Mus musculus: one gene and its partners. The protein of the gene in region 2 purifies or fractionates together with the protein of the main gene of each other region. This does not show direct contact. Links are inferred from orthologs where the notes say so. Each region holds a gene or a part of one and is shown on either strand. Other genes may lie near its edges. The genes, in order: Tns3, Csk and Tns2.

What was found.
Region 1: the proteins of Csk (region 2) and Tns3 purify together in Homo sapiens (affinity purification with mass spectrometry; 4 studies listed by BioGRID and IntAct, with this or other methods). This does not show direct contact. The link is inferred for Mus musculus from reciprocal best matches to the Homo sapiens genes CSK and TNS3.
Region 3: the proteins of Csk (region 2) and Tns2 purify together in Homo sapiens (affinity purification with mass spectrometry; 6 studies listed by BioGRID and IntAct, with this or other methods). This does not show direct contact. The link is inferred for Mus musculus from reciprocal best matches to the Homo sapiens genes CSK and TNS2.

What each region holds. Positions count from the first base shown.
Region 1 is NC_000077.6:8,446,949-8,452,757, forward strand, and holds part of Tns3 (tensin-3), read right to left. Parts: intron 4,548-5,809; coding exon 3,907-4,547; intron 3,209-3,906; coding exon 3,122-3,208; intron 1,874-3,121; coding exon 1,742-1,873; intron 1-1,741. UniProt on the Homo sapiens protein: May act as a protein phosphatase and/or a lipid phosphatase. Involved in the dissociation of the integrin-tensin-actin complex. EGF activates TNS4 and down-regulates TNS3 which results in capping the tail of ITGB1.
Region 2 is NC_000075.6:57,641,484-57,647,768, forward strand, and holds the start of Csk (tyrosine-protein kinase CSK), read right to left. Parts: upstream 4,171-6,285; 5' UTR 3,512-4,170; intron 2,587-3,511; exon of another isoform or gene 2,563-2,586; intron 1-2,562. UniProt on the Homo sapiens protein: Non-receptor tyrosine-protein kinase that plays an important role in the regulation of cell growth, differentiation, migration and immune response.
Region 3 is NC_000081.6:102,100,235-102,106,488, reverse strand, and holds the start of Tns2 (tensin-2), read right to left. Parts: upstream 3,556-6,254; 5' UTR 3,403-3,555; coding exon 3,328-3,402; intron 1,960-3,327; coding exon 1,851-1,959; intron 1,151-1,850; coding exon 1,113-1,150; intron 246-1,112; coding exon 207-245; intron 1-206. UniProt on the Homo sapiens protein: Tyrosine-protein phosphatase which regulates cell motility, proliferation and muscle-response to insulin. Phosphatase activity is mediated by binding to phosphatidylinositol-3,4,5-triphosphate (PtdIns(3,4,5)P3) via the SH2 domain.

The DNA of each region.
Region 1 (5,809 bases), on a different chromosome or scaffold from region 2:
TTAGTGTACAAATATTTTGAAATCTGAAAATAATCAGAAACCGTCGCCATATCTGTTTGGGGCCATTTATGATGAGAGATCCTGAGCTGCATTAGGCTCCAATGATGCTGATCAACACCACACATTAGCGGCAGTACATGTTAGCATTTCCTAGGGGCAGTCAAACCTGCAGGGATTCCATGAAAGTCTGACACATAAAACAGAGGGAACAAAATATGACACTTCCTCTGTGGGAAGAGAAGGTGTGGGGCTTCCAGCCTAATGAGAAAACCCACTGAAGGTCTGGATTCTACTTGTGGAAAATGGCCCCGTGAAGATCCTGCTGCCAAGGGTGTTTTGGAACACAGAGTCTAGAATGACCACAGCTGTCTCATCTCAAATTGACTGGAGGTGGCTCAGTGACTAACTGGCTCTTCACTCATTTGGTAAACTCTTCGCTCAAATCTATCGTTGGACTGGGAAATACAAATGTCAAACCCAGGCCTAGGTATACACACAGAGTCGAGACTGTATTTCAGCCAGTGGAGACCACCATGCTGGGTTTTCTGACATCTGCTATTCACATAGCCTCTATTTTGTTCGTTTATTCTCAGACTTAGTCTGAAGGCTGCCCAAGGAAGGATACATTCCCAGACATTAGAAGTCTTTTCCTGATATGTCACTAACTGATGTTCCTAAGTCAGACCTGGTAGTCCTCAGCAGCCAGGTCTGAGTGAGTGCTTCATGATAAAGGCCATACGTCCCCGCAGTAAGGTTCTGTTGAGCTTCTTAGGCGGGAATCCTAGACGTTCTATGTGATGTCACTTACTCTCCCACTCCCTCACAGAAGCCCTGTCAGCACCCCCAGGTTTGGGAGCTGTGCTCTGCCTGAGTCCCAGGTGCCTCCCAACCACACTTCCTAGCCTTGCAAGGCAAGCACATTCCTGAAGCAGGTCAGCCACCTGTGCCTGAGGCTGGCCCACTTGCAACCACATCTTACAACCTCAGTACACCGTGTACCATGTTTGCTCCAGGAAGCTTTCAGACAGATTTCACACAAGAGTTAGGATGGCTCATCTCAGACCCAGGCATGGGATGGGACAGACAGGTACCACAGCCATGCTGATTCGGATTCCTCTCTCTAGCTAAGGCAACGTCTCTCACTGATCCATGCGGCAGAGGCTCAGCTCCCAGAGAGATGCTCTGGTGATCAGTGAGGATGTAAGGAGGGCTGGAGTAGGGTCACTTAGTGCATGCCCTTAGGAGGGTGACGAAACCTCGCTCTCTCCCCAGCCTCTCCCCTTCACGTTGCAGGCAGAGGGAGAACACATACTCCCTCATGCACAAGCAGCCTATGATGATTTCTCTATCACAGGCCTGGTACCAGAGCCAACCAAATGAGCTGAACCTCTTAAAACCATGACCCACAGTGAACATTATCTCCTGATAAGATAAATACGAAGGGCATCCTGCACAGGGCGACTACTGCACACTCCTCGTGACCTGAGGTGTTCAGTGAGTCTTAAAATTTTTGATTCATAAGATAGTACATATTCTATGTACTATATTAGTGTTCACATTGCAAGTTTAAAAGTATGGAAAAGACGGGTTAAAAAAAATGAAGATAAAAGGTATACATGGATGGACAGCTACTTAAGGAAGTAACCTTAGAAAGCAAACACTAAATAAAGAGAAGCAGTGGGAACAGTTGCCGATATCAGCCACTGTAAACAACAGACAACCCCCGTCTATGGACGCTTACCTTTCTTGTTGAGGTGCAGGACAGACGGAGGAGGTGTGGCCACCTTCATGGCCAGGCCGTAGGCCCCTCGGAAGGAGTGACTGTCCCTCACGATGAATGACCCGGGGGCTTTGTCCTTCAGCATGGCAATGGCTAGGGGAAGGAAAGGCATGGATGACTGCAGGGGACAAAGGTCACTGCCCACCCAGAGCCTGGGATGGCTCCACCTCTGAAAAATCACACTCAAGGCTGAGCTGACGCTCAATGCATCAATGACAATTGAAGAGTAACGTTCTCTTGATTGGCAATGGTTCCAGGGATGGCTCGGCTGCCTGAAAGCAGACTGTTACAAAGCACCGACATCCTCTCTCTTCTGCACATGGGCACTTCCCCATCTCTTTTCAGCAGTAAGAAACTGGTGCTGATATGCGTGGGGAGCGTCCCACGCCCAGGACTCCTTTTCTCTATACATCCAGAGCAGCCCCTTCTCCCAGCTGCTCCTACAGCCTGGGCCAGTTGGGACCCTGCTTGGCAGATGAACGTGGAGTAAGGAAAATGCCATCTTTTCACCTGTGCAGCTAAGCAGGGAGACCAGAGACAGAAGAATTCGGGACACTGGCCACATAAGGTTGCTCTGTGTGTTTTGGGGGAGGCTTGGACTCACTAAGCAGCTTTCACAAAGGTGCCTGAGGGAAATGAAAGGCTTTTCAGGCCGTGGTTGTGTTCATCCCCCACCTCACCCCACCCATGCTTCTCTTCCATTTAAAATGACAACAGCTTCCTTGAGCTCCTGGGAAGAACTAGAGTCTCACAGTTCCTGTTAGCTTTAAAATCTAATGGCAGAACCTCAGGGAGAAAACTAGCCTTTCTGAGAGATGATGCTATGAATGAACGGCCCCATGAGCTCCTTAGGGACTTCAACCAGGTGGCCAATGTGGGGTAGATTCATGCAGGCTACAGGAAGCTCCTAATGGGGAGAGCTCCAAACACTCCATGCCCTTTCATGTCTGCAGCCACCAAGCCTGAGATTCTCCTAGAGCATTAGCTCTCCATGGCCTCTTTCTGCAGTACTCTGGAACCTAGGACCTCAAGGAGTCCTTAGTAGAGACCTGAGCAGTGTCTCATCCTCAAAGCAGTGGTGGGCTGCCAGGCTAGTGAAACTGCCAGTGTTCACAGGCCACACGCTGGGATGGATGCTTGTGGCTTGAAACCACTTCTGGCCCAAACCCTCAGGGGGACTGAGTTTTCCCTGTAAGACTGTGAAGGTTGTAGAATGTTCTCCAGAGTCCTATGAAAAAGGTGTATTTATCTGCGCCACAGCTAATACAAGGAGATCCCTGACAGAAGGACCCAGAGACCAAATACGACCAACATTGTAAGAGGTCCCTTAACCCCGCCTACCTTGTTCTCTTGAGATGTCTGCCTTGTACCAGAACTTCGAAGTGTCTTGAACAAATTTCACAATCACGAGTTTATCATTTGGGCTATCTGTGAAGCAGAATTTTAATACAGAATATTTGGGTTTTTTGTTTAGTTTTTTACAAATTAATACATCTCAATTGGGTTTAATTACAATAGGGAACTGATAGCAGCATTCACAGGAGTAGGAAATGGGACATTTCTCTATTCAGCATTGAGAGTAATACAGAATATCTATATTGCTGCCTCTTTTACAATGGTGATGCGAGTCCAAATCCATGCCTGGGTTTGAGGGATGCACAGAAAGGTCCTAAGTGGGGAGGAGACGTGGTTCAAAGGACCAACTGGAAGGAAGAGCCAGTACCGCGGAGTACAGTACAAGACAAACGTGCTTCCAATACGGGACAGGAGGACAGGGCAGCGAGGCTGTGTCAAACACTTGAAACAGCTTATAACTCAATTCTGGATGAATTATGTAATTGGGAAGAGAGAAAGAAACTTTAAAGCATCTCTATCCTTTTAGTCAAAGTGAATACAGAACTACTGCAGCATCTGCACTGTCTAACGCTGGTCTGAGTCTGCAGGAGATTAAGGAGGAAGCTGACCGGAAAAACTGGGTCTATCTGGCTTTAGGCAAACTGGGTGGGAGAGAGCCAAGAGAGGATCTGACCATTTCCTGCAGGACATCTGACTTAGCACTGAAGACTGGCTCACACGGGAAGCCCCAGAGCCCTCCTCTCCTGAGGGAGTGGCAGATGCAGACATACCTGGCAAAGGTGAGGCCACTTCTGAAGGCTTGCAGAAGTCTGGAAGGACATTCGGGAAGGGGATGCTCATGGTGCTGCCACTGTGGGGGCTGGAGAAGCCACTGGATGATGGGGAGACTGAGCCCAAAGAACGATCACCCTCCGACGCTCTCTTCTTCTCCGGGAGGGGTGGCTGCCCAGGCAGGCTCACGTTCTGGTTCTGCAGGCCTGGACTGTGGTGGCTGCTGGCTCCGGGTGACACCGTGAGAAAGTTGTGGGGCAGAAAGCCGTTGTCAGCAGCCCCTGTCGTCAGCAGAGGGGTTCCAGGAGCTGGTGATGTTCCATGGGAATTGACCAGCAAGGTGCCAGCGTCCTCACCAGGTGGAAGAACACTTGTTGCTGTGGTTACTGTGTTGAAACCTAAGAAGGTTTGGCTGCCCGCAGGAGGCAAAGCACCCTGAGGCTCTGACATGGACAGCTCATGGCTGTGGAAAGAGGCCTGGAGCTCTGAGGACTGGAAGCAGGGCAGCCCTGGTGAGTCCTTACCAGAGCTACAGAACTCATGAGTGCCGAGGGGACTTTCAGAAGGGTGGCTGTTCCCCAGTAGGGTGAGGGTGGACTTCGGGCTGCTCTCTACCCACTGGCGTTCTGCAGAAGGCGGGCTGTTCGAAAGGCAAAAATAGCCATAGGGAAATGTAAGGGACATACAGATGCCTCAAACCCAGCAACTGTTACAAGATACAGATGAGACAGGATTGGGGAAGTAGGTACTGGGGCTTGCTGCAGGACAGCATAGAAGCGCAGTATCCCCCCATCCCTTGCATGTGTTTCAGTGACCCAGGTTGACCTCAGTCTAAAACTATTCAGTAGAACACTGTAGAAATAAACAACTGCTAAGTCTTAAATGTTACTGTGAGTGGGATGATGAGCAGTGTGCTGTCCTACTCATGGCCAGGATATGCATCACTCCTTATTCAGCGTATCCATGTGGTATATGCTGTCTGCCTCTAGATGACTGGCCGACATGGTATGTAACTCTCCGGTTACTTAGAAACGGTCCCAAAGGGGCTGGTGAGATGGCTTAGTGGTTAAGCACTGAACACTCTGCAGAGCAGCGGGGTTTGACTCCCAGTATCCACCCAGTGACTTACAACCACCTTCTAGAAGAACTGCTGCCCTCTCCTGGCCTCCACAAGGACCAGGCTTACATGTGGCAAACAGACTACAGACAGGCAAAACATTCATACAATAAAAACAAATAAAGATATAAATCTAACAACAAGTTCCCCAAAGAGCAAGTATGGGGACAGGGACACTGGCTGACTGGCTATGGAATCTGTAATGTATTTATTTCCTTTGAATAATAAATGGTCAGAGTTATCATAGGGGAAAACATTATATATAGGGTTTGTTCCTGTCTAGGATCGTAGGCATCAACTAATGACCCTATCTCCTACAGACCGGGGGACAACTTGACTGGGAATTACCACATTCAGGAACCTAGAAAACCCATTAAAAATACAGTTCTTACAACATATATGTATTTAAATTGACACACTAGCTATAGATTCTACATGTGATGTCAAGTCCTTAGAAAATCCCCTTTATTATTTTTTTAACTTTTAATTCTTCAATAATTTGTTTGCTTTATTTATGTTTGTTTGCTTACTGGCTGACTGGTTGGTTGGCTGGATTTTCAAGACAGGGTCTCTCTGTGTAACAGCCCTGACTGCCTCAGAACTCACTTTGAATAACAGGCTGGCTTTGAACTCAGAGAGACTGGCCTGCCTCCTCCTCCCTCCCAAGTGCTGGGATTAAAGGCATGCATACCTCACCCAGCTGGTCCCCTTTATTTCAATGGGAAGGGAAACAGGAACAAGAAACACCAGGGATTTTAGTTCTACTCTGGTCCAGCAAGGCAGAT
Region 2 (6,285 bases):
TGTGCCAAGCAGAGATTGGTTTCTTCCTACTGCCCATGTCACAAAGTGACACCTCCAGGTTAGATCTGCAAAGGAGGACACTAACTCAGAAGCCTAGTTTCTAACTCTCAGGTGCAAGGCTCCAAAATCTAATCTTTCCCTTCCCTGGTCACTGGAGAAAGCTGAGGCTGGCCTGACTAACTCTGGCTCAGCCTAAGGAAACCTCTATTTCCCACTGGAACGTGAAGCCTATGACAGCCATGCAGGATCCGGGAAGCAGGAGTACTCTTCATGATGGGTACGGTGGTATAAGCATGCCTGTAATCTCAATGCTCTGGAGACTGAAGCAGGAGGATCTCGGGTTCAAGGCCCTGTAGTGATAACCGGTGTGTGTATGTGTGTGTGTGTGTGTTTTGGGAAGCAACAGTGGTAGGTAGCCATTCTCAACTCCAAGGCTGTGAAGGGGAATGGGTGGGGTTAGGCCTTGGACAGCAATTAGCATCCTATCTTCTCAAGGCCAGTCCCATGCCCTGAGGCAGCCTATCACTTAGTGATGGGAAGGGAGTGGGGCACAGCATAGACAGACACAGCAGCCTAGAATACAGGGCCAGAGGTTTTCAGAGTGCTTGGGACACCTTACCAAAGATAGGTGAGAGGGCAGTCATTCTAGGGTCCGAGGCTCAGGGATGTTTCTCGAATTCTAAGGCAGCCACACCAGCCACGGTCCCATGCTCTCTCCAGTCTTTTAGTAGGTTAGTTAGTTCAGTGTCTTCTGAGGTATACAGCTCACTGTTCCTGTTAGCTATGCTCAGGGAACCGTGGTGTGGCTGGGCCTGGGACCCACATACTTAGCTGCTAAACTGCCTGCTCTCTCCTAGCTGCTTGTAGGGTGTGTAGTAACAGCCCCCACCACTGACAGATGGAAGCACGGCACACGCGGGAGAGGGTTTGGTGACGAAGCAGTAGCAGGGCTCCTGGAAATACCCTGAAGCTCCTTCGAGGCGGTTACCATGACAGGTAGCTCAAGAAACACCCAGAGACACAGTAGTAAGTGGGAAAAGAGTCGAGGCTTGCACATTTACATGCTAACAACAGCAAGGGAAGGAAACCAGGAAAACAGGGCTCTAGTGTGCCGAGTCCCTGCCTGGCAATTACTGGGCCCTCTTGTTTTATTTTCTAAAATTTCTGGGGTTTGTTTTCTTCCTTTCTTCTCTTTTAAAGATGGGATCTCAGTCTGGAGCCCATGCTAGCCTTGAACTTGGAATCCCTCCTGCCTCGGTCTCCCTAGCGCTGGGATTACAGGTGCATGCCAGCCCACGCGGCCCTCACTGCTTTGTAAAGAATAAAATCAACAAGCATAGAGTTTTCATGTGAAGTCAGACTAACTTTCCCAGGTCCTGCCTGCCCCTCAGCTCTGGCCCAGCTACTCAGGACTTTTCTGCTACAGAGCATCCATGCCCGTCTGGGACACTCTCTCAGACATCTCTCTGCCTTCTTTCCCACACTCAACATCTGTGCTTTGAGGGCTACATGTCAAGGCTTTGACATTCTTCAAAAGATGGACCTGGGTGGTCCTACCATTCCAGTGGGATCCAGAAGGATTATGGGGGAGGTTGAGTCACACTATGGGCCTCTGGCTTCCATCCCTACCTCTACTAGCGTGAAGGAAGCTGGACTCTGCTCTCTATCAACACTTGCTGTGGGCCTCCCCATGAGGACTGCCCTCTGAAGAGCAGTGCCTTGTAGTGAGGAAGGCACCTGCTTTCCTGGTCTTTTACAGAAAGACCAGCCCTTGCTGATCGGGGAAAATTAGTTCACCAAACAAAACTCAGAGCCTCGAACATGTGCTAGCCTAAATGAGGCTGCTTTCTAAAAGATCTCTGGACTCTGGCCACACCCTTGCAGCCAAGTTAGTAAGAAGCACCCAGCCATGTCAGGCCTAGCCACAACCCCTAAGGCTAGACAGAAGAAGTTCGGGTCGGCATGAGGCGATGTGACTGTATACCCCACCCCCACCCCAGTGCTTCTTAGAGCAATGGGTAAAACCTTAACCAAGGGCAAGGGCCTGAGCAAGACAAAACAGCCTGTGGCTCACGGGGGCCTAGGCAGAGCTCAGCATCCTGAGGGGTCTAGAAGATCCTGCTGCTCTGCCAACCTTAGTGCCTCTGGCCTGATCCTGCTGTGGCCATTACCGAGACACTACGACATCTAGGGTCCAGGGAGACAGAAACAAGCCCCAAGTGTCAACATTCCCCCATACTGACACTTTCAGTCCAAGGTTGTCTGCCACTCTGCCTACGCTGACCCCATTCAGGTTCTGACTGAGCCATCTGGTAAATGTGGGAAAGGCAGGGTCAGAACTAACTACCAGGCTGTTTCAAAGCTGCCCAGAACCAGGCTTCTGCACACCTAACCACACCACACCACACAGATGGCCCACACGATTAGGACCCAGTCCCACGCACTGAGAGGAAGTCTTATAAGCAATGCATACGATATCTCGGCCTGTAAGAAGACAGCACTGAGGCCGGAAGCCCTTTCCCTCTTCTCTAGCCCTCTGCAAGGGAACACGTGCTCGCTCACCCCACAAGGTCCCTCTTGGGTCAGGCTGGAGACTGCCAGTGTCCCTGGTAGTTACAGAGTGGGTCTGGTTCCCCTCCACCTCCAGCCATCCATCATTGCAGAAGTGGGAATGAGAGACAGCTAGCCTCCCTCCATCAGGAGCCTGGAATATGACCTGCCCCTTGGGCCTCAGTTCCCTGCTATACAAAATGATCAAAAAAAAAAAAAAAAAACTCCTACTTAAGCTCCAAAGATCCAGTGACTGGACACACCCCTTCCAAATAACTGGTCTGGGTCCTGAGAAGCCTGGGAAAATAGACTGATGAGGATGCTGGGGGTGGGGGTGGGGGGAACGGGGTACAGTACCAATGCCCAGTGTCACCTCTACGCAGACTGGAAGCCCTGCCCAGTTTCTCCACCCAAGGGTCAGAGGTCCCTTGCTTTAAGCCTGATCCTCTGGCAGGTCAAGGGTGACAGGCTTAGTTCAAGGACCCGGCCTTCTATCAGGCACAAAGGGAGGTGGCATGGCCCTGGGCTGCTTGGAGCCAATAGAACCTCTGTGCAACGACTGAAGTAGAGTTCAGAACCAGACAAGCCAGGATACCTTCAGGGAAGCCCTGAACGGGAAAGGGCAAACGCCCGGGAGTCCGGCCCATACCACTTCTCTTCCTCCGGGGTCCAGCCACTTCCCACTCTGCTCTCCTCACGGGAGTTGGGGGGTGGGAAGGTAGGACTCTGCAGACCTAAGCCAATTCTCTCGTGGTGCTGGGTAGTACTACCTCCCTTGTGGCTCATTCCCAGTAGTGTTCTGACAGTGATTCCCGGGAGAATTCGAACCCGTTTGGGAGGTGGGGGGTTGGGGGGATGGGTGTGGGCGCGGCGGTGGTGGCTACAGAGGCGGGACGAGCGACCTCCTCCCTTCTAGGGGGCATTAGGACACCCACCTCCTTTGGGGCTGCCCAGCACTCACCTCTCTGGGGGCACTGCGGTCCAGGCCTCCTCACCGAGGGCGGCATCAGTGGCCTGCAGGACAGTCCATGCGGCCAAGGGGGAGGGGAGGGGCACAGGGGTCCCCAGGGGGTGCGGTACAAAGAGGTGTATGGATGCGAAAAGAGAGGGAAGGGGAGCCAGACAGGCAGGGGGACTGCCGCGCAGCCCCAGGCGGGGAGGGAAGAAAGGCGGGGGAAGGGGGCGGGAGGGAGTCCGGGGGGGAGGAAACAATGTAGCCGGCGCGGCCCCGGCAGAGTTCCGCTTCCGAACGCGGCCACGGAGGTTCGGTTTGGGGACGTCGCGCCGCCGCCGGGGGGCCGCCCCGGGCGTTCGATCGCCGCTCGCAGGGCTTGCCTAAGCCCCACACCCCGGAGGCTGGGCGGCCAGAGGCTGGCCAGGCGGGAGGGACGGCTGGCCCGGGGACGGCCCCGACGGCGGCGCGGCCCGGGTTGGCCCTGCTCGGACCCCACCCCGGTGGGATTCCCCGGGGCAGGGCGCAGGGTGGCGCGGAAGCGCAAGGAAGGCAGCAGGCTCAGCGGCGGCGGCCAACCTCAGCTCGCCCGGGCTCCGATGGGAGGAAGCTCGCAGGCCTGGTGAGAGGAAGCGCGGCCCGGATCCTCCGCCCGCTGCGGCGCGCCTGCGCGAGGGGGCCTGCCGGGCGAGCAGCGGGGCGTGGGTCGGCGCCCTCTGCTGGACCTTGGAGGAAATGCGGGGGGTGTGTCCGCGTCTACGCCCTGCCCCCACTTGCTGGCCTTCGCGAAGGCTCCCGAAGGTCCTTTCAGAGGGCCACCAGCATGCTAGAGCCAACCTCTCAGCTTCCTCTAGGCGAAGCTTCCTTGCTAGAGTGGAGGTTAGGCCTAGACTCTTCTGGGACAGTAAGCATGCATTTACACGGCCCCTGCTCTGTAGTCTACCACCGTCTCTGCTTCCTCCTCCTCCTTCTCCTCCTCTTCCCCCCCCCCCCCCCCCCAGCGAAGTTTTCTTTCTATAGTGGAGGCTAGGCCTAGACTCTTCTGGGACAGTAAGCATGCATTTACACAGCCCCTGCTCTGTAGTCTACCACCGTCCTTCTCCTTCCTTCTCCTCCACCTCCTTTCTCCTCTCTCCTCCTCCTCTTCTTCCTTCTCTTCCTCTTCTTCCTTCTCCTCCTTTGTAGTTTTTTTGTTATCTTTTGTTTTTCTGAGACAGGGTCTCACTATGTAGCTCTGGAACTTGCTCTGTAGACCAGGCTGGCCTCGAACTCATAAAGATCTGCCTGCTTCTTCCTCCCAAGTGCTAGAATTAAAGAGTGCATTTCCGGGCGGTGGTGGCCCACGCCTTTAATCCCAGCACTCAGGAGGCAGAGGCAGGTGGATTTCTGAATTTGAGGCCAGCCTGGTCTACAAAGTGAGTTCCAGGACAGCCAGGGCTACACAGAGAAACCCTGTCTCGAAAAACAAAACAAAACATAAAACAAACAAACAAAAAGAGTGTGCATCACCACTACCCGGCCGGAGTCCACTTCTTAAAACCTCTATATCTGCCAAATTCTCATGAGGGGTTGTTGCAAAAATATTGTCACAAAGAACAAATTGATAAACAATGAAAAAAAAAAAAAAGGTACAAGGTCCACAAGAAACAGGAAAGAAGGGAACATGGGTTGATTTTCTAGATCTGGGAACACAGCAGGGAGACCTGACTTACTTCGTGTGTAGGGGAAAGCAGAAAGAGATGCGGTCAGTCCTGCAAGCTACAGGGCCAAAGAACCACAGAGCTTCTTGGAACTCTTCCGGGCTTTATTTTCAGCTGAGATGCAATAGGGAAGTTGTCACTGGCTGTGTAACAACGTCGGACCAGTTAGCTAATCTCTGTCTGTCCTTTTCCACTGTGGTTTGGTAAAGTGAGCAAGAGCGGTACCACCAACTTTGTAAGGTTTTGTGGAGAGGAAATGAGTTAATAGGTTTGAAGTGCTCGGTGCGCAAGTGGCACGTGGTGAGTCCTCAATTAAACACGGGCTGTTATTATGCACCATTGTTAATGAGGAGTCCGGGATCCTCCCGGAGCAATTTGCTCTCAGCTACAGGAGCAAGCAGTGCTCCTGTATGGGAGGGCCACAGAATGGAAGCACAGTGGCTAGAGAGAAGCCAGAAAGTCCGTTGGAGGTGCTAGGTGTAGGAGCACTTTCTAAGGACCAGGACTGAAAGAGGGTACTAGTTTAGGAGCAGGGGATGGGGGTGAGGGAGTGGGAGGGGGATCTTCAGATGGGAGAGGAGACGCTGCTGGCAAAGACTTGGAATGCAATGTAAAGTGGTACTGACTGAGGGGAAGAAAGGGGCTCTGTGAGAAGCAAGGTTGCAGATTGCAAATAACTTAAAATGTTAGAAGCAGGAGTTGGATATGCTCAACTCCCACCCCAGACGACAGGTTGGTCTTCTCACCCAGCATGCCTAGTACCAGTTTGCTTACAGGGAACTGGTTCTTTAGGGACACCTTTGGTGGAGGCACCTAGAAGATCTCAGAGTTAGGTGTGACACAGAGGGGGGGGGGGAAACAGATATTTGGGGACCGAATCTCAAGGTTAAATCTCAAGAGCTGTGTGGCTTTGAACTAGTTACCTAAGGTCTCTGAGCTGTTTCCTCTTTGGTGAGATCAGGCTGAGAGCATGCCTCTTTCATGAGAGATGGTGCAGATTCAGCAAGATAACAGGCCTGGAGTGATGGTGCATGTGTGTGTGTGTGTGTGTGTGTGTGTGTGTGTGTGTGTGTGAGAGAGAGA
Region 3 (6,254 bases), on a different chromosome or scaffold from region 2:
CCCTAGGGACAGGACTCTAGCCCCCAACAAGCTCTAGAAGACAGTAACCAGAAAGGGCTCCGACAGCCATCTGTTGAGGACAACTGACCAATAACCACAGCACTCATTTCTACATAACCTCCTGGAGACCCACTCTGAGACCACCAGACCCCGGGGATACTAGTCAGGTTCCTTGCCTTCCCTGCCCCATCCTAGAACACACTCACCAGCTCCGCAGGGGGCAAGGCCTGACAGGATGAAGTCACCTGGAAAGAGGTGGGAGTTAAAGGCTGTGCTGGTGAAATGGGGTGCCAGGCCTCAGTAGGAAGGTGCAGGGGCTGTCACCTGATGAACAACCTCTAGCTGAGGTTCCTCTATTTAAGGGAGCCTTGCTTCTGCCTCTCGGTCTCCCACCCCTTGGGCCCCCTGCTTGTTGCTCTTGGCTCTCAGCCCCCTGCCCACACAGACCCCCATTCATCCAGCGGCAGGACAGGAGTTATATATAGAGCCAGCCAGCCAGGCAATGGCCAGGGGTGGACACTAGCCTCTTTCACCGTTGAGACCCCACCCATGGGCACAGAGCTCCCCCAAGCTAGCTTGAGGCCCTGGGACTACCCCCTGCACTGATGGAGCACCAGGAACGTTCCTCAGAGATGCAGGGCTACCTTAGGTTCTCAGTGGACAGCGGGTACCAGCTACAGGGTATTATACCTGAACAGGCTCAGCTTTCACTACCCAGGATGAGACCAACGCAGGCATCCTGAGGACCCTTTCCTCAGAGGGAAGGCACCTCCCATCAGGGTGCCTGGTCTCTGAAATCTTGCTCCCTCTCTATCCACCCCGCCCTTCCTCCCCCCGCAGCCACCCCCCCTCATCCTCTCGCCAGCTGCAGCCTGGGCACAGCACCAAGACAAACGCTGTCTCACTGTCCACCCTCCTGGGCCAACCCTCCAGGGGTGGAGTAGGGTGTTTCTTAAAGAGCCCAACACAACACCCCTGCCACCCAGGAAGGGGTGTCCAGGAGTGAGTGACAGGGGACAGGGTGACATGGTGGCCCATGCCAGTGAGGCTGAAGATGCCTGTCTGGACAGGGAAAGACACCATCTCCCCATTAGATAGAACCACATACTCACCTTTGCTTCACATTTTCTGTGTGTGGCCACCTTGCAGACTAGAGAGAGAAAGGGTAGAGGTTAGCAGAGGCTTACGGGAATAGTCAAAATAACTGTGCTCCAGCCCCACAGGCCTTAGAAGCCAGCTCTGGGACCCTGGTACACTAGGTTACTAGGAGTTGAAGAACAGAGCTGGTTATCAACAGGTTCTGCTCTGGAGTAAGGGAAGAGGGCCGGGGGTTGGGGTCTAGGATGAATAGAGGTGAGGAGGGGAAAGAGGAAGAGGAGGAAGAACAGTAGGAGGAAGAAGAGGAGGAAGAAGAAAAGGATGAGGAAGAAGAAGAGGAACAGGAAGATGAGGAGGAAGAGAAAGGGGAGGAAGAGGAAAAAGAGGAGGAGGCAGAAGAGGAAAAAGAGGAGGAGGAAGAAGAGGAAAAAGAGGAGGAAGAAGAGGAAAAAGAGAAGGAAGAGGAAGAGGAAGAAGAGGAAAAGGAGGAGGAAAAGGAAAAAGGAGGAAAAAGAAGAGGAGGAAGAAGAAAAAGAGGAGGAGGAAGAAGAAGAGGAGGAGGAGCAAGAGGAAGGGAAGACCCTAGTCACAGGTAAGGATGGGAAGGTGGTAGAGTCACAAATCTCCTGGGCTGTGGCAAGGTGGGTGTCAAGAAGAGTGAGGGCATTTGTTTCTGAATTTGCCTGTCTCTAGAGCCTGAGCCACACAGAAGTGCTGCCTGGAGGGCTCAGGCACCAAGAGCACCACCTCACCTCGGCAGGAGACACCGGTCCCATCGATGGTCACCTTACACACTGCACACACTGGAGTTTTCTTCCGGAAAACCTTCTCCCGGAAGCTGTGTGGTTCTGCTTTCCTCGGCTGCGGGTGGGATGACAGACAAATAGGGGTATGTGTTCCTAGTGGGCTCATCTCCAAGGCTGGGCAGGGACCTTTCCTTAGAGCGATGCTGCTTCCCTCTCTTCCAGCCAAAAGTCTGTGAACTCTAAGGCACACTTGGCCACAGCTGTTTCAGGGTAGTCATGAGGCCTGTCCTCTACAGGGCTTGGAATGTGACCCCTTGCGTCACCTTGGCTGGGTCAACTCCTCCCTAAGGGTTCACTCAGGACTTCTCACGTGGCGGAGCTATGTGATGTCCTTGTCACACACACCCCCACTTCCAATGTGAGGGCTTTCTGAATCTTGGCAGAGTGGGGGGTCTGACTCTCCTCCCATCTTGCCCTCCCCACAAGAGGCTTGTATACTGTGAGCTGACGGCCAGGACACACAAGCACTATCACATAATACCCAGACTGACTGCAGCCAGTTCTGAGCCCCTGGCTCTCAGTGTCCCCAAGCTCCAGGCAGCTAATATGACCCCCTCCCCCACGGTCAGAACAACATGTTTACTCTCTGTGCACTGAGGCGGCAGGCAGCAATTGTCTAAGACGTTCGCTCGGAAGGAGGAATAGCAGTGGGGACACACAGGCAGCTGCCTCGCTGCCTCTGCATGTTATGACAGGGGTGGCCAGGTTCTCCGGATGCCCCCTCCCCACCCAGAGGTAGTGAGGTCAGTGGCTGGCTGGGCTGCCACCAGTTGTCCAGGTCCCCCTTAGTCCCTACTCACTGCAAGTTTTCACTGCAGTTCTGACCCCTCCCACCCCAGTTCATCCCTCCTATCTAGAGTCTGTGGACAATCTCCCTCACTCCTCCCACCACTCCACTGCACATTCTTCACCGCTGTGTGTTCAAGCTCCCGCTGTCCCCTCCTCTCCCTGGATCTGCCCACCGTAGTGTGAAGAGGAGAATAACATGGGAGCAGCGTTGGTCCCTTAACGACTGGGGGCGAGACCCACCAGGACACTTGGACGCACTTGTGGATGATGACGTCGTGTGCAGATGACGTCAGTAGAAGGCACCCTCCCTTCCCTCATTGCCTTCTTCCCATACCTTTTCCCTCAAGCTTCCCCCGGAGGTCAGGGCTTGAGCTCTTAGCTGAACCCTCGGGGCCTATCCAGGCTCAAGCCAGGAAATACACAGAGAAGTCAAAACAGATGCTAGAATCACACTGCTACCCTACCCTAGCCACCTCAGGGGGTCAGGCGAAAGAAAGAGGAGGGGGATGCTGAGCCAGCCAGGAGAAGAGGCTGAAACTAGGAAGAGGGTCTGGTCTGGCCTGAATCCTGGCCCTCCCGCCTTGTCCGCACCTCCACCCTGCCCCACCTTTGCCCAGCTGGTGGGCACTCCTACCCTGCTGGTGGCCCGGCTGCTGTCCCTCCTCCCCAGGGCTCTGAGCAACCTTTCCACAGGGCCGCTGGACTTCATGGTGTCTGGCTGGCTGGACTCTTGGCTGCAGGGCCTGAACAATGCTGGGGCCTGGCCTGGGGCTTCCTGGAAGCAGCCTGCCGAGGCAGCCGCTTCCCTTGGGTGGAGGGGAGGCTGTCTGGCTGGTGTGTGGAGAAGCCTGGCCCTGGAAGTGGAGGGAAGTGCAGGCGGGAAGGGGGCAGGTCGCTGCTCCAGGAAGTGGGGTGGGGGAGGATGTGGGGGAGGCCAGGAGATCAGATTCCCAGGATCTACCCTGCTGGGAGTGTCAGCCTAAGATCTCTGGCTCTCCCCATCTCTGGAGCTGCCTCCCACCCAGTGGGCCACTGTGTGCAGGGGGTCTGCAGTCCTGAGATCCAGCCCTGGAATCAGCCAGTGGCACAGGGTGGGAATTCAGGTCTCAGGGCAGGGCTCAAGGGCCAGTGGAGAACACTGTGTCCCCGGCCAGTCTCTAGCCTGAACCCTCATGCTCCCTTGGGATTTCCTGTGGGAAGGGAGTGTTGCTGGGAACCAGTACCCCTGACAGCCCAGCACTCCACATCCTCAGGGTGAAAGAAAGTTAGGGATGAGGGCTAACTTCCCTGTCAGACGGGAGAAGGATCTTATAGTACCCTCCTCAACGCCAAGTTCCAGCGGGAAGGGCTAAGGGCTTACAGGAATGGTCCATCTTGCTGTAACCCAAAGCACTGGAGGTTCCTCCTGAACACCCCAGCTGCTCCTCTCCAGATACAACCCACAGTTCCTGGCTTAGCTCCCAGATCCTGCACCTGAGGTTCTACTGGGGACCCCACCCGCCCACCAGAATCTGAGCGCTACCTTCATGGCTCTTCTGGCCTGTCTCTCCTTCCTCTGTGGCTGTCACTGGACCCGAGGACTGGACAGGAGGCCCCCTCCCAACACATACTCCACCCTCTCTAGGGCCTCCTGCTTCCCTCCTGGGAATAGGGCCAACTTCCTGTCCCAGGAGTCAAGGGAAGGAGGTGTATGGGGCCCTTGGAAAGGATGGAACAACCTTCCTACAACAAGGGTCAACAGCCTGGGGGTTCCCAGCCCAAGCTCTAGACAGCAGCCTTTGGAATGCTGTAGCTAGCTGTCATTTGAAAGAATGTACACCGTGTCACCCTCATTTGCATGGTATTTACTGAATGTCCCAGTGCAACTCCTCCAGTTCTGGCACCTCTTGCAGGGTCCCACAGGACTCTCCTCTTTCTGCCTCACGCCCATCTGACAGATGAAGGGCTGCTCTAGTCCTCCCCAGGGATCCTTCAGAAGACCTGTCAGACTGAAGAGTCTGAGGCCTCTTCCCGCTGCATGCCTGTTCTCTAGGAAGCCCATCGTTGCCAGTGTACCCTGGCTAGAAGGCCCTGTGAGTGGCAAGGGGTGGGGCACCGTGCTGTAACTGGAGAGGGCCCCTGGCTCTGCAATCCCCACCTGAGTTCTGGCTGTGTCCCAGGACATTCCAGGCCGATGGCCAGGTGGGCAACCGGGGCTGTCCTGATTCCGCACCCAGCCCTGCTGGGGAAGATGGATCACTGCAGCGCCTCCCCTGATCAATTTTTTTTCCCCTCTGCTCCTATGGTACATGGGCCTACATCTGCAACCTCTGGTGGGACTGAAAGTCTTTTCCTCTGGAACAGGTTCCCAAACAGCCTCTGCCCTCACTGAACTTACACTGCCCACCTAGATCTAGAAAGTTAAGTGTCTAGTTGGCTCTGCGCGTCCCCACCGCAGGGAGTGTGGAGTATTTCTGAAAGTAGCTGAGGGCAAACAGTGCCTGAGGAATGGCAGCATTACCAGATCCTCACCTCCCACCTCCTGCCTGGAATATTCCAGAGCTCTTTTGATTCTCCCCAGCCGGGCCCCCTCTCACTCTGAAGCCTTGGGTTTGTTTGGAGAAACCCCTCCACCCACCCACACACCCCTCCTTCCTGGAAATAGCTGTGGTTGGATGAGAGGCCCGGAGCCGGGCCACAGAGGAGTGAGGCCCAGTAAAGGAGGGAGGGGAAGGGAGGTAGGATTCAAGGGTGTGTCTAGAGGGACCTAGGGGGTATCTAGGTAGGGCAGAAGTAGAAAAGGGTTAAAAGGAGAAATCAGCTTCATCTGTGTCTGCATTCTGCCTCAGTGTCTCAGATAGAGAAAACAGAGAGGAAAAAGTTTGCATGCACTCTGCCAGGCCAGGGCCGCAACATTGATGCCAGCTGCCGCGGGCATCTTGTGTTCAAAGTGCGCTTGTGGCTCGAGCTAGAGAGGTACGCAGAGAGTGGCCTGAGCCAACAGTAGTGCACAGTGGGACGCAGGAAGGCGTGGCGGCCTGAGCTAGGTCCACAGCCGCGCCCCGCCCCCTGGTCACCTCTAGTATCTTCAACTGTCCCCTAGCTCACCGAGACCCGGAGGGGAGGGCACGGGCCGCGCCCAATGCTCCCGGACCCCCAGTGGCTCCGCGCCCCCTGGTGCCCGTCCCTGGCTCGGACCGCGCGCTGTGACGCAGAGGGCCGACGCTCGCCCGCGCTCCCGTCCAGCGTGGCGCAGCCACTCACCTGTGGGGGGCGCCCAGAGGGCCGGGGGCGCGGCGAACTGGGGCAGCAGCAGGGGGCGCCCCCGGACCAGCCCATCCCGCCTAGCCGCGCCGCGATACGCGGAGGCGGCGGCGGCGGCAGCGGCGGCGGGACGGGCGCTCAGCTGGCTCCCTCCCGCCGCGCCCTGCGCCGGCTGCCTCCTCCCGCCCTCCGGCTCCCTCCTTCTTCCTGGGCTCCAATCGCCACCTTCCACCCGCTCCCCGCCCGCGCCTCCTCCTTTCTCCCTCTTCTCCTCCCACTGTCCTCCGTGCGCGCCGAGGCAGGCTCCGGCTGAGACTC